2 linked regions of the Schizosaccharomyces pombe genome follow. Changing the gene in region 1 together with any one later gene gives a genetic interaction. Each region holds a gene or a part of one and is shown in the gene's direction. Other genes may lie near its edges.

The links. Genes that interact genetically often act in the same process or in processes that back each other up.
Region 2: of wsc1 (region 1) and mtl2, extra expression of one rescues a mutant of the other (dosage rescue), as found in Schizosaccharomyces pombe (one study listed by BioGRID).

Annotation. Positions count from the first base shown.
Region 1 is NC_003423.3:1,297,134-1,302,971, reverse strand, and holds wsc1 (transmembrane receptor Wsc1), read left to right. Parts: upstream 1-1,692; 5' UTR 1,693-2,356; coding exon 2,357-3,481; 3' UTR 3,482-5,296; downstream 5,297-5,838. Other genes in the region: sqs1 (G-patch and R3H domain-containing protein), read left to right, coding at 1-1,031; SPOM_SPBC30B4.09 (uncharacterized protein), read left to right, coding at 5,739-5,838; SPOM_SPBC3D6.16 (uncharacterized protein), read right to left, coding at 5,712-5,838.
Region 2 is NC_003424.3:3,957,721-3,963,436, forward strand, and holds mtl2 (protein Mtl2), read left to right. Parts: upstream 1-2,028; 5' UTR 2,029-2,177; coding exon 2,178-3,788; 3' UTR 3,789-5,194; downstream 5,195-5,716. Other genes in the region: SPOM_SPAC2F3.16 (ubiquitin-protein ligase E3), read left to right, coding at 1-124, 180-284, 347-886; HECT-type ubiquitin-protein ligase E3 Pub1, read left to right, coding at 5,603-5,619, 5,671-5,693.

The DNA of each region.
Region 1 (5,838 bases):
AAGAAGAGCTTTTGGCAATTTTTGATGCTAGTGATGATTCCGAGATTGAGGCATACCTTAGTATTGGAGATACTTTGCAAAATGATTTTACTATTTATGATTATGACAGTGAGGATGAAGAGTACAATAACCCCTCAACTCAAAAAACGGAAAAAGTTTCTCAAAGCAAAAAAGGGGCGAAGGTAAAAGAAGAAAAAGGTTTGAAAAAAGATCGCAAACTTCCTAAAAAAATGCGTAAAGCTCAAAAGAAATTAGAGAGAAAGGCAGGAAAGGCTGTGGCCGCTAGAATGGGAGATGCCTTTTCCAATTCTTTGGACGATGAGAGCATGAACTTGTACGCTGAATTGCAAGAACAATGGCTTAAAGATAAAAGCAAAAAGGCAAGAAGACGAGCGGAAAGGGAGAAACTCCGCTCTGAGGGGCTACTTGGAAAGAAAAGCAAAAAGAAACTTTTGCGCGAAAGCCAGAAGCCGTCTTCTTCCGATTCTGACAATGCTAGTCTTACACGAATTGATAAGATATTTATAAATGATGTTTATCAACGGATGCAACAGTTTAAGCACTCGGCCATTGAAGAAATTTCCCTTCCTCCATGCAGAAAATATGTTCGTCGATTGGTTCATGCGCTTGCCAACGATTTGAACTTGAAGTCGAGAAGTTATGGATCTGGAAACAAGCGGTATACTATGCTTTCCAAAACTCATAAATTTGATGCATCTAGTGTGGATTTGGTTTCACTTACCAGGATTATGGAGCGTTTACAGACCAGGGTTGAGTATCAGTCATTTTCCAAATCTGGTAGGAAATCTCGAATGACTGTTTCCTCTGTGAGGTCGAGTAAAGCCACACGTGTATATGATGGCCAAATTGTTGGAGAAGATGCCCCTGAAATTAGCAAAGAAAATCCAGGTCGTCGGTTGCTCGAAAAGTTAGGATGGTATGCAGGTAAAGGACTTGGTCATCCCGAAAATGAAGGTTCCAAAGATAGTTTACGTGCTATTGTTAAAGTTAGCAGAAGTGGTTTAGGTTAGAAAACCAGGGTGACTGGTCAAACCGAGAAACTAATCAGCTGTGTCTTATTTACTTGAGATAATACTCCAATTTATATATATATATATATAAATATATACTATTCTAGGTTAAGCATCATATTCAAATTAGCGATTTGTACATATTGATGTGAAGTAAAAAATTAACCGTGGGTACTTCGACATGGTGTCTTTCCATTCAAGAGATAAACCGGAAATCCAGAAAGATAACTATCTTTTATTTTAAGATATAAACTTCATTTAAATAGACAGAATAATTATTCTCACTACAGGAGCAATTGAATATGTAAGTTGCTGCTATGGGCATACTGCAGCTAAAGAAGTTCTACAAAACGGTGATATCGCAGTGTACAGAGTTATTATTGCTATTTAAAGAAGATAATCGTAAAATCAGTTAGCGTTTAATATATAACACGTGTAATACAGTATAAGGAGTTATGTAAAGTAACGTTTAGGTCATTTTAACAGGCAATATCGGTCAATAGTGATACCCAACATCGCACTATTCGCAGTTTCAACCAAGTATCAATCGGAGCCTTTTTCATTCGTTAAATAGTATAAGGCAAAAATACCGTTTCGGTAAGGGTCAATAGTGTTCGCCTAGGTTCGACTGACTTCAGCCTTTATGGGGCCCGTCGGAGCTAACTTTTCCACTTAACAACTAATCGAATTCTTAAGTGTTTTTTGACGACAATCTGTCAAACACTGTATCCTTATTAAGGAACTAGTGTATTGTTTAAAGTAAAGGAGTTTTCAAGCCTGGGAAGCTCGAAGAAACGATTCAAACGGAAGCTCTGTGGATAGCCAAGTTCGGTACGGGTTTGTACTTTCGTCCCCGAGTATTTTGTTGAACTTCAGGAATTCGCGTTCTTTTTTAATTCTGAATTAATCTTTACTCTTTACTTTTTATTCGTTCTTTTTTTAAATTCTGTTTTTAATTTCGGAACAAACGAAGTTGGATATTGAGTACTTTTCACCAACTGCTCGGTCTTAATAATTCTTGATTTTGCGTTGCTGAGCCTTTATCCTTTATTGTTTTCTTTTTCATGTTGATAAAGAAGTGATTTTGCAACAATTATTTTCTTCATTGGCATTTGAATTTTTACGCTCTTTATTTTATTTACCCAATCTTTCTTTTCTTTCATTCGGTTTGCGCCTTTTGATAATATTTCTCTTAACTGGTCCAATAATTTGTTTTCTCTTTAGTCTATAGACAAAACAACTTAATTTACTGAGGGCAAAATTTTTATTACCAAATTTAAGTTTTAATTTTCATTCCTATTATACTTACGCACGATTTAATTTCCATGGTCTTTTTAAATTCCTCTCCCTTTAAGGGGAGGTTACTATTTTTTGTTTACCTTTTGATAATTTCTACTCGGTTGGTGGCGGCTGACATGAACACTCAATATGGCTGTTATCTCGTGGATAGTAGCTTAACTGAACAAGGCACGTTTACCTATCTTGATCCAGCGTATTGCTATAACAACATTTGTGGTGGATCTGATAATATAGCATTTGTAGCTATCCGTAATAATCAATGTTATTGCGGTAGTACACTTACTGCTACAGAAGTTTCAAGTTCTCTTTGCACAACGCCTTGTCCAGGTTATGGTTCTCTTATGTGTGGTGGTGATCTGTACTGGTCGGTTTATCTGACTGGCAATGGGGTTTTGCAAACCACGGTTTCTAGCTCGTCAGTGTCGTCTACGACCTCTTCGTCTTCATCATCATCTCCAAGCTCATCTTCAACTACAACAACAACATCTCCTTCTTCTTCTTCTTCTTCTTCGTCTTCGTCGTCTTCCTCTTCTTCTTCGTCTTCTTCTTCTTCTTCTTCCTCATCTTCCTCTTCCTCTTCCTCTTCCTCTTCGTCTTCGTCTTCTTCGTCTTCTTCCAGCTCTTCGTCTTCTAGTTCTTCCTCTTCCGTACCAATAACGTCTTCCACCAGTTCTTCTCATTCTTCTTCATCTTCAAGCTCATCTTCCTCTTCATCTTCTAGTCGGCCATCTTCGTCTTCGTCGTTTATCACGACCATGTCCTCATCTACTTTTATTTCTACTGTCACAGTAACACCAAGCAGTTCCTCTTCTTCAACCAGTAGTGAAGTTCCAAGCAGTACGGCTGCCCTCGCTCTAAATGCAAGCAAGGCGTCAAACCATACGTCCTTGAATGCAGGTGCTATTGTGGGTATTGTTATCGGTTGTGTGGCATTCGCCGTGGTAATGGCATTGTGCATTTTCCTATACTTCTATTTCAGGAGATTCAAAATTAGAATGAGCGACTCGGCAAATGAAGGAAAATATCCCTCCTATGCTAGTGAATTAGATTCTCGCTTGGATCCTGCCATGATGAATCGCAAATCAAGTGAATCTTTGGCTGACAGTCAGGATTATTCGAGAAAGATATTGCGTGTCACAAATTTGAACTAAAACAACATTTTTCTTTTTTACTTTATTTAAATTCAACCAAAAAATTATTTCTTCTTTATGGTGTTTATGACTTTCATAATCGTATGCTACAAATCTTTTGCATATGATCGGAAAAGTGATCATTTTGGTAACGATAAAAAGTTCTTTATGGTCGGTTCTCTGTTGGCATAATCTTATTTATTTATTTTCCCTTATTTTATTCGTTCTTTACTTTTTCTTCTTCTCTTTATCTTTCTTTCGGGAAACTGGATTTGTTTTCAATATGTGTTAAACCGTTGCAGTGTTAGTGACAAATCAGTTTCATATTTTTTTCTTATTCATTTTCGCTTTATCTTTATTTTCTATAACCGTCAATTATGAATTGATGAAATTGGGACTTGGGAAAGAAAGCAAAGTTGGCTTGATTTATCGGCTAAACCTTGATTTTTTTTTTAAATTTAATAAGATAATTTGGAAAGGCTAAACTCCTATGCAATAGTTGTTTTGGCAAAACTGGTTTTATTTCTTTCTTTATTTTTTTCCTTTTCTTTTCTCGTTGTCTTACTTCTTTTTGTTGTTATCTAATTGGTTGTTTTTGTGTCTTTGACGCTATTGTCTAGTAGCGATCTTTTGTACATTTGTCTACCCTTTCTCAATATGATGAACACGCTAAGTTTTCTCTTTTCTTTATTTTCCTGGTCGATTGGTGTTTGATCTTCACAAAACCACTTTTCACCTGGTCTACATCTTAATTTGTTTAGATCTTGGCGCTACCTAATTTGTGCACGTTATGGTTTTTTTCTTTTTACTTTATTTTTATTTACTTCTCCTTTCTTTATCTTCTTTTTTTATCCTTTCTCTTGTTCTTTTTTTGTTTTTGTTGTCCCTTTTTCATGCTATTTAGTGGACAGGTGTATATGTATTGGATATCTATGTATCGTATATATATACCGTTTGCTTACCTGTTATATACACGTGTGCTTGGTGTGTCAGGTTCATTTATGCAATGTATGGATAAATTAAATGATGGTTCTTTTTTGTATAATATTGTGTAACACCAACTTGATCTTAGCACGGGAGATACTTGCGGTTATTATTTTCCTTTATAAGTTTCAACAAGTCAAGTACGTCTTTGGTTTTTCTAGTTTCCTATTTCTTTTACTCTTCCAAAACCATTAGGGAGAAGGGAACAGGAAATAAGGAAACAAGAGGAAAAAAATTGACAGAGAAAGAGAAAAGTTTAACGGACGACTATTAACCAACAAGTTATAAGCATAAAGTATCCAAAGTCGTATGCAAGCGTAATTTGCACTTCAAATGTCAGTCTCAGTGTCAATTATGCAAATGCGTGCCATCTCACCATTCATTCATTGTGTTGTGATACGCTGTGGTTTATATGCAGCTCCCCCCTTTATTCCCTCCTTTCTTTTGATTTACTATTCATCAATGGCCCATTGAGGACCTTAACTTGAAGACGAAGCTAAGAAAACAAGGATAAAACGAAAAGAAAAGGCTGCTGTTAAAAGTCCTGTTTTTTTATAGAAGAATTTGGGTTGTTACCGAATCATTAAAAATGTTCCTTTTCTTTTCTTGACAGTTAGATCGTCTCATGATATTGTTGTTGTACTTTTTAGTTAAATTCCACTTAATTATTTAAACATATAATCCAAATTCAATCCATCCCATTTTTTATTTATACGTTCACAATCACTTAACGCTTTGATTTGAAAGTGGTTTAGTGTAAATCGTTGCACCACCTAATCATTGTTTACTACATTCTTGTTAGAATTTGAATAAAATTTTTTCCGTCTTTTCGCAAGCGTAAATAAACAGGGATTCGCAGCTGCGTCATTTATTGACGAATTTCCCTATTGTGTGACGTGTAGTAGTTCAGCCTTCCCCCCACACGTATTTACACCCACATATATATAAAAAGAGAGAGATTTCCACTTCTCTGTACACTTACCTACTGCCTTTATCCTTAGATCTTAAGTAGGCAGCATTATAACTCATTGCGGAACAGCTTTGTAGTAGCTTTTCATAAATCCAATTCCTTTAATTATTCATAAGACCAATTTTTGGTTAATTTTCTTGTTCGCTAAGAACTACCTTAATTGTGGACCCCGTTGAATCAACCTTCTTTTTATATTGATCAACGAACGAGCAATTCGATTAGGACTAGCATATCCTTGGTTTTCTTGCGTGTTCAATTACTAAAAACCCTGTTTTCTGTTTGTTAATATATATTTTTTTACTCTCCCTCTCTTAGGTATACAGGATGGCCCAGACGTTTCAGGAGAAACAACAGAGTCGAAGGATTAAAATGAGCACTGGAAACTTTTTTTCTAGAATGTGGAATGCCGTCGTGTTCGGCTTCG
Region 2 (5,716 bases), on another chromosome or scaffold:
TGATCATGTTTTAGAACGACCTGCCGTAGAAAACATGCTTTGCATGATATGTTCCAAGGTTCAACCAGCAGCTCAATATTGCAAATACTGTAAGAACTGTATGGGCCGATATTACTGCAATAAGGTATGTGATATTTTATTTGATACTTGTTCAATATCACTAATACATGACTTAACAGTGCAAACTTTGGGATGACGATCCGAATAAAAGTAGCTATCATTGTGATGATTGTGGTATTTGTCGAATAGGACGCGGTCTTGGCGATGATTATTTCCACTGCAAGGTAACTTTCGTGTACTTTTAGCACATGCTTTGCTTTTTAAACTCATATTCTAACAGCTGTAGACTTGTGGCCTTTGTTTACCTATTTCGGTTTTCAATACTCATCGTTGCATCGAAAGAAGTACGGATTGTAATTGCCCAATTTGTGGTGAATACATGTTTAACTCTCGCGAACGCGTAATCTTTTTAAGTTGCTCTCATCCGTTGCACCAGCGATGTCATGAAGAATATATAAGAACCAATTATCGTTGTCCTACTTGTTACAAAACGATCATTAATGTCAATTCATTGTTTCGAATTTTAGATATGGAAATTGAACGACAACCCATGCCTTATCCCTATAACACTTGGATTTCTACCATCCGTTGCAATGACTGTAACTCACGTTGTGATACGAAATACCATTTCTTGGGTCATAAATGTAATTCATGTCATTCTTACAATACTTGTATTTCATCAATTTACAAACCTTTGGATCACCCACAGGTGTCTATCCCTCGACTGGCAACCGCTGAGGATGCCGGTATGCGACGGCTAATGGGACATTCTTGGGACAACAGCGATGAAGACTTTAATATTTTCGGGATTCACAGTTTTATATAGATTTTCTAACTTTATGAACTTCCTAAACTGTTACGATTATCCTATATGTACTATTATTTTGGAAAAGTTGCTATTTTCATTCAATTCTTTGCAAGAATTACGAATTTTTAACGTTTACCCCAATTGTCTGATTATATTTATTCCCTTTTCTCGTCCTTTTGCATCTACTTCTTATATGGTTTTTTTTCTCAACAAGTCAAGCGATGGTATGAAGTAAATCGCTTAAATTTCCTCGATGAAGAGAATTTCTGTTTTAATTAATCTAAACTCATCTACTTTTGTGTGAAGCTATGGTGTCTTGAAACATTCGCAAACATAAGGACTTTGCTTCATGCAATTCTGGGCCTCTCTCAATATTTCAATTTCCTGTTATTATGACTTATATGTTATTTGTCTTGATTTTTTTTACGGCTGGCATTCATTAAATAAAGAGTTTATTGTCATTCCATATTCATCTAATCCTTCAGATTCCTTTTAAACTGACTTTTTGTCTAGAAGATGCGATCATTCGTCAAGTTACTGCAACTATTCTTGTTACTTTTCTATCTGTCGTTGTGATTCTTTAGCAGCATCCAACTACAAAATTTTTTTACCACACTTGCAGTTGTCTCTTAAGAGCAGGTTTAGTAACGTGGATGGGTTGTTAGTCGGAGTTACTAGTCAGATGAAGCGATAATACTAATTTTCTACTATATCAATTTAATTTGGCATGAATAAAATTTCAATACATTGTTACTATGTAAGGTGGTTAACTCAATTACCGCGTGGAAACGATAGTGTCAAATGCAGCCATATGTTTCAAGCCAGTAGTAAATGGCATCTACTGTTGCGGATGTTTAGTAATTTAAAATTAGGGAAATCTATATGAATATTGCAGTATGTGAAAACTGTGGTAGCTTTCTCATTAAGCGCAAGTTAACGGCGATCTCTTTTTATCCAGCCATTTGAAATGAATAATTTGCCTTAGTAAAATTTCACCTGGTTCGTAACTTTAAGGTTCTTTGCTAGAGCATTGATAGGTAACATATTGGTAAGGTGAAAAAAAGCCTCGAAACTAACTCGGAAAGAATCCCCACATTGAAAAGTGCATCACCCTTACCTATAGGCAAAGCCAAGCAGGACCGCGACATTTTCTCTTTACCGCTTACTCTTCACCGTGCTTTTAAGGGAATTCATCAAGATACATTGAAATTGGACGAGATCTTATTATTTTTCTAGAAAAAAAATCCAACGTTCTTTTAAAAACTTCAAAAAACCTTCTTTCTGTAAGGGAATTCGCACGCAAGAGAAAATGTCATTCACGAACAATACTTCAAGTGTGGACACTTCCCTCAGCTCATCTGCTTCTAGCAGTATTCCGGCAAGCAGCTCTTCTGCTGCTGCTAGTACGAGTTTGAGTAGCTCAAGCGTGATTCCTTCTAGTTCGAGCTCTATGCTTTCATCGTCTAGTGCTACTGCAATTAGTTCTTCATCATCGTCTTCACCTCTTTCATCCTCATCTTTTACTTCTCCTGCTTCTTCTTCTTTTATCACATCTTTGGTCTCATCAAGCAGCCAACAAAGCTCTAGTAGCAGTGCTTCATTGACCTCTAGTAGCAGTGCTACACTGACTTCCAGTAGCAGTGCTTCCCCGACCTCCAGTAGTTCGAGTCACGCGCTTAGCAGCAGCAGTAGTTCTCTTGTCGCTAGTAGTTCCTCCAGTGGGATGTCCAGTAGTTCCTTAAGCCATTCGTCTAGTGTCCCATCATCTAGTTCTTCCTACCACAGCTCTTCCATGACTACGAGCGGCTTGAGTTCTTCAGCCAGCATTGTCAGTAGTACGTATCGAGATGGACCCTCAATAATCACATTGGTCTCAACTTCTTACGTTTCTGAAGTGGTGACCCCCACTACTACTAATAATTGGAATTCCTCCAGTTCTTTCACTTCCAGCACTTCGTCTACGCCTATTAGCTCTTCTTATTCTTCCAGTGGCACTTTGCCCAGTAAATCTAACAAGTCAAGCAATCATGTCGGCGTAGTTGTTGGTTGTTCTGTTGCTATTCCTGTTGGTGTAGTTCTAATTTTGATTGGTTTAGGAATTTTTCTTTGGAAAAGGCATCAACGGTCCAAACGAATTAAGGCTGAGCGCATGCAAGAAGTCGAGGAATACGGATTTAACCCCAATCAACCCTCCAATTTCCGTAGCCCAAATCGTGCTCCCTCTACTAATAACAGGTATCGTGGCTGGAATGGAAGCCCAACACCTGCTGCTGGAAACAATACTAACGGACGGCCTGTTGCTCCTAGACCTTCTGCCGGCGCTGGCGGAGCCAATCCGCCTGCAGCTTCTCAGCCCGGCCTTTTGGGTGGCAGTAGTAATTCAGCTGGTCCAATTGCAGCTGCTACCGCTGCTGGTGTCGGTGCTGATGCTTCTGATGCAGCTAATACTGGTGGAAGCTTTACTCGTCCTCAAGGAGCCCGTATGGTTAGACCGATTGGAAATCCACCTGATCTTTCTGCTTCTAACGAAGCTGAAGCTACAATGCCTCCATCTAATGGAAGCAACTTTTCTGAAGGTTTGTCTGCATCTCCGTTTGAGTCAGGCCCTGCTGTTGGTGCCGCTGGAGCTGCGGCCGAAGCTGCAGAACACAGTGGTTCTGGTTCAGATTCCTATCCAGAAGGTCCTTTAGCTACGATTCCTGAAAGTGACAGTGAAAGCATGGCTAGTGATTTAGCTGGAGAATCCTCTTACGGCTCGAGGGCAGCTCTGTCTAGTCGATCTCAAAGCAATCTTCTTTCCCCAACAAGCACTGGTGCTTCTAACCAGCCCAATTATTCACCTTTTGCTGACAACCCATCAAGTAGCAACGTTTCTATTCCTCGGTCGTCATCGGAAGCTCGCAGGTTGAACCTGTTTTAAAGTATGCGCTTAAACACTTGTTGCGATAGATTTAAGCAAAAATTATTTGTTTACAATTTCTGGATATATCCGTCGCTTAAAATAAATGCGTTAGTTACGCTTGCCTTCAATTGATGGTAGAAAGTCTTGCGAAGAAAAGCTTGCTCATCACTTTTTCGTATAACAACTTTTTCTTTATTCGGCTTTTACCTTTGTTTTTTACGAAAATCTTAAGTAATCGATCTTTTCAATCTTATTGCTATCTCTTTGTTTTACCGTTACTCACTCATTTCCTTTTTGCTTGAACAGTTTTATGGTATTAGAAATTCACATTCTCATTGCAAAGCTTTGTTATTATTATGGGTTTCGCTTATACCATCTCATACAATCAATTGGTCCGTCGGTTTACTTTCTTTAAAAAAGGAGTTATTTAGCAAACTATTTATCCTTCTTTCAAACTTTCTTTTTAAACTTAACTATTTGCTTTTTCTCATGGCCCTCTTTTTTTAAGAAAATTTCGTTGCTTGCATTTCATTCAAAGTCTTAAATATGTCATCTGGTTCCTTAACTTATTGCTTTTAAATCGACTTCATCTTTTGACTGACTTTTGAATTTTTCTTTCAATTGTTTCACTGTAGTGAGATACAACCCTTAAAAAAGTCTCTTTGGTTTGTTTATTCTTATCCTTTTCTCATTTGCATTTCATTACTTATCAATCATTTCTGTTTCATTCGCCGTTTCGCTTTGTTTTTTCATTTGTACATTTCTTTACAGAATGGCGAATTCTTGTCAAATGCGACGGAAAGCCAATTTTCCTGAATAGTGTAAAACGAAATGAAACTTTTAACAGCTACCTGTTTTCCATCCCATGGTTTCTTGTTATTGAAAGTGGATAGCAAATAGTCTTTATGACCAGCCATTTCAATTTTACTTTCAGTCGCCTAACCAATCTCGTTATCTCATTTCTTTGAAATAAATGTACATACTGTACTTTTTCCTTTTCTTTTCCTTCCGTTCCTTTTTCACCGTCTCGTATATGTAATGGAGCGTCACGTTCCCTTCGCTGCACTTATCGCTCTTACTCTTTCGTCATGTTGAGGACCATCTAGCTCTACTTTCTCTCGTGTGGCTGGATGTTTACTTAACTTTGTTTTGGCCAGCATGCTCGACTACTGATAATTAAAAAATAAAAATTTTGAGCATTGTCTGTTTAAGAGTTGTTGCTAAGTTCTGGCTTTATTACTTTTATTCGCGGCACTCCGTTTGCCTTCTTGTATGTACCTTTTACAATTCTTCGTTTCCTCTCTTTCTTCTCAGTTCTAACTATCACTTGAACGCAAAGTGGTTAGATATACATTTTCCTCATTCTTTCGTATTAAATCAATTTATTAAATGCTTATAGCTTGCAAATCATACATTGTGCTGCATGATATTTACTTTCGTAGTTAACACGTAAAACGTATTTTCTGTACGCCAAAAAAGATAAAGAACAATTTGGTAATCGCGTTGTATATATATAAGGAAATGGGTTATAATGCGTTAAGGATCTAATCTGCAAGACCGATTAATTCTCCTTTCAGCCAACACCACGCGAAATCCGACGGATTTCAAAATTGTGCGCTGAAAGCACGAATTTGATTAAGGATTCCTTTTGTAGTTCTTTTTTATTTATTTCGTTCCCGAAAAAAGCGTTTTTGTATCAAATAGAAAGGATAAAACGGCCTTAATTGAAAGTTTTTTTTGCAAGCACAAATACTTGACTTTCTTTGGGAAATTGGCTTTTTTTTATTATCCAAAAGCAACGCTGGTTTGAAATTTTACCATCTTTTCCCCCTATGTCAAACTCAGCTCAGTAAGTAGTTCTTTAACTGCTATAAACACATTTGCTAACTTTTATGATTAGATCTCGTCGAATTCGAGTAACAAGTATGTGATGACATTATTCAAAT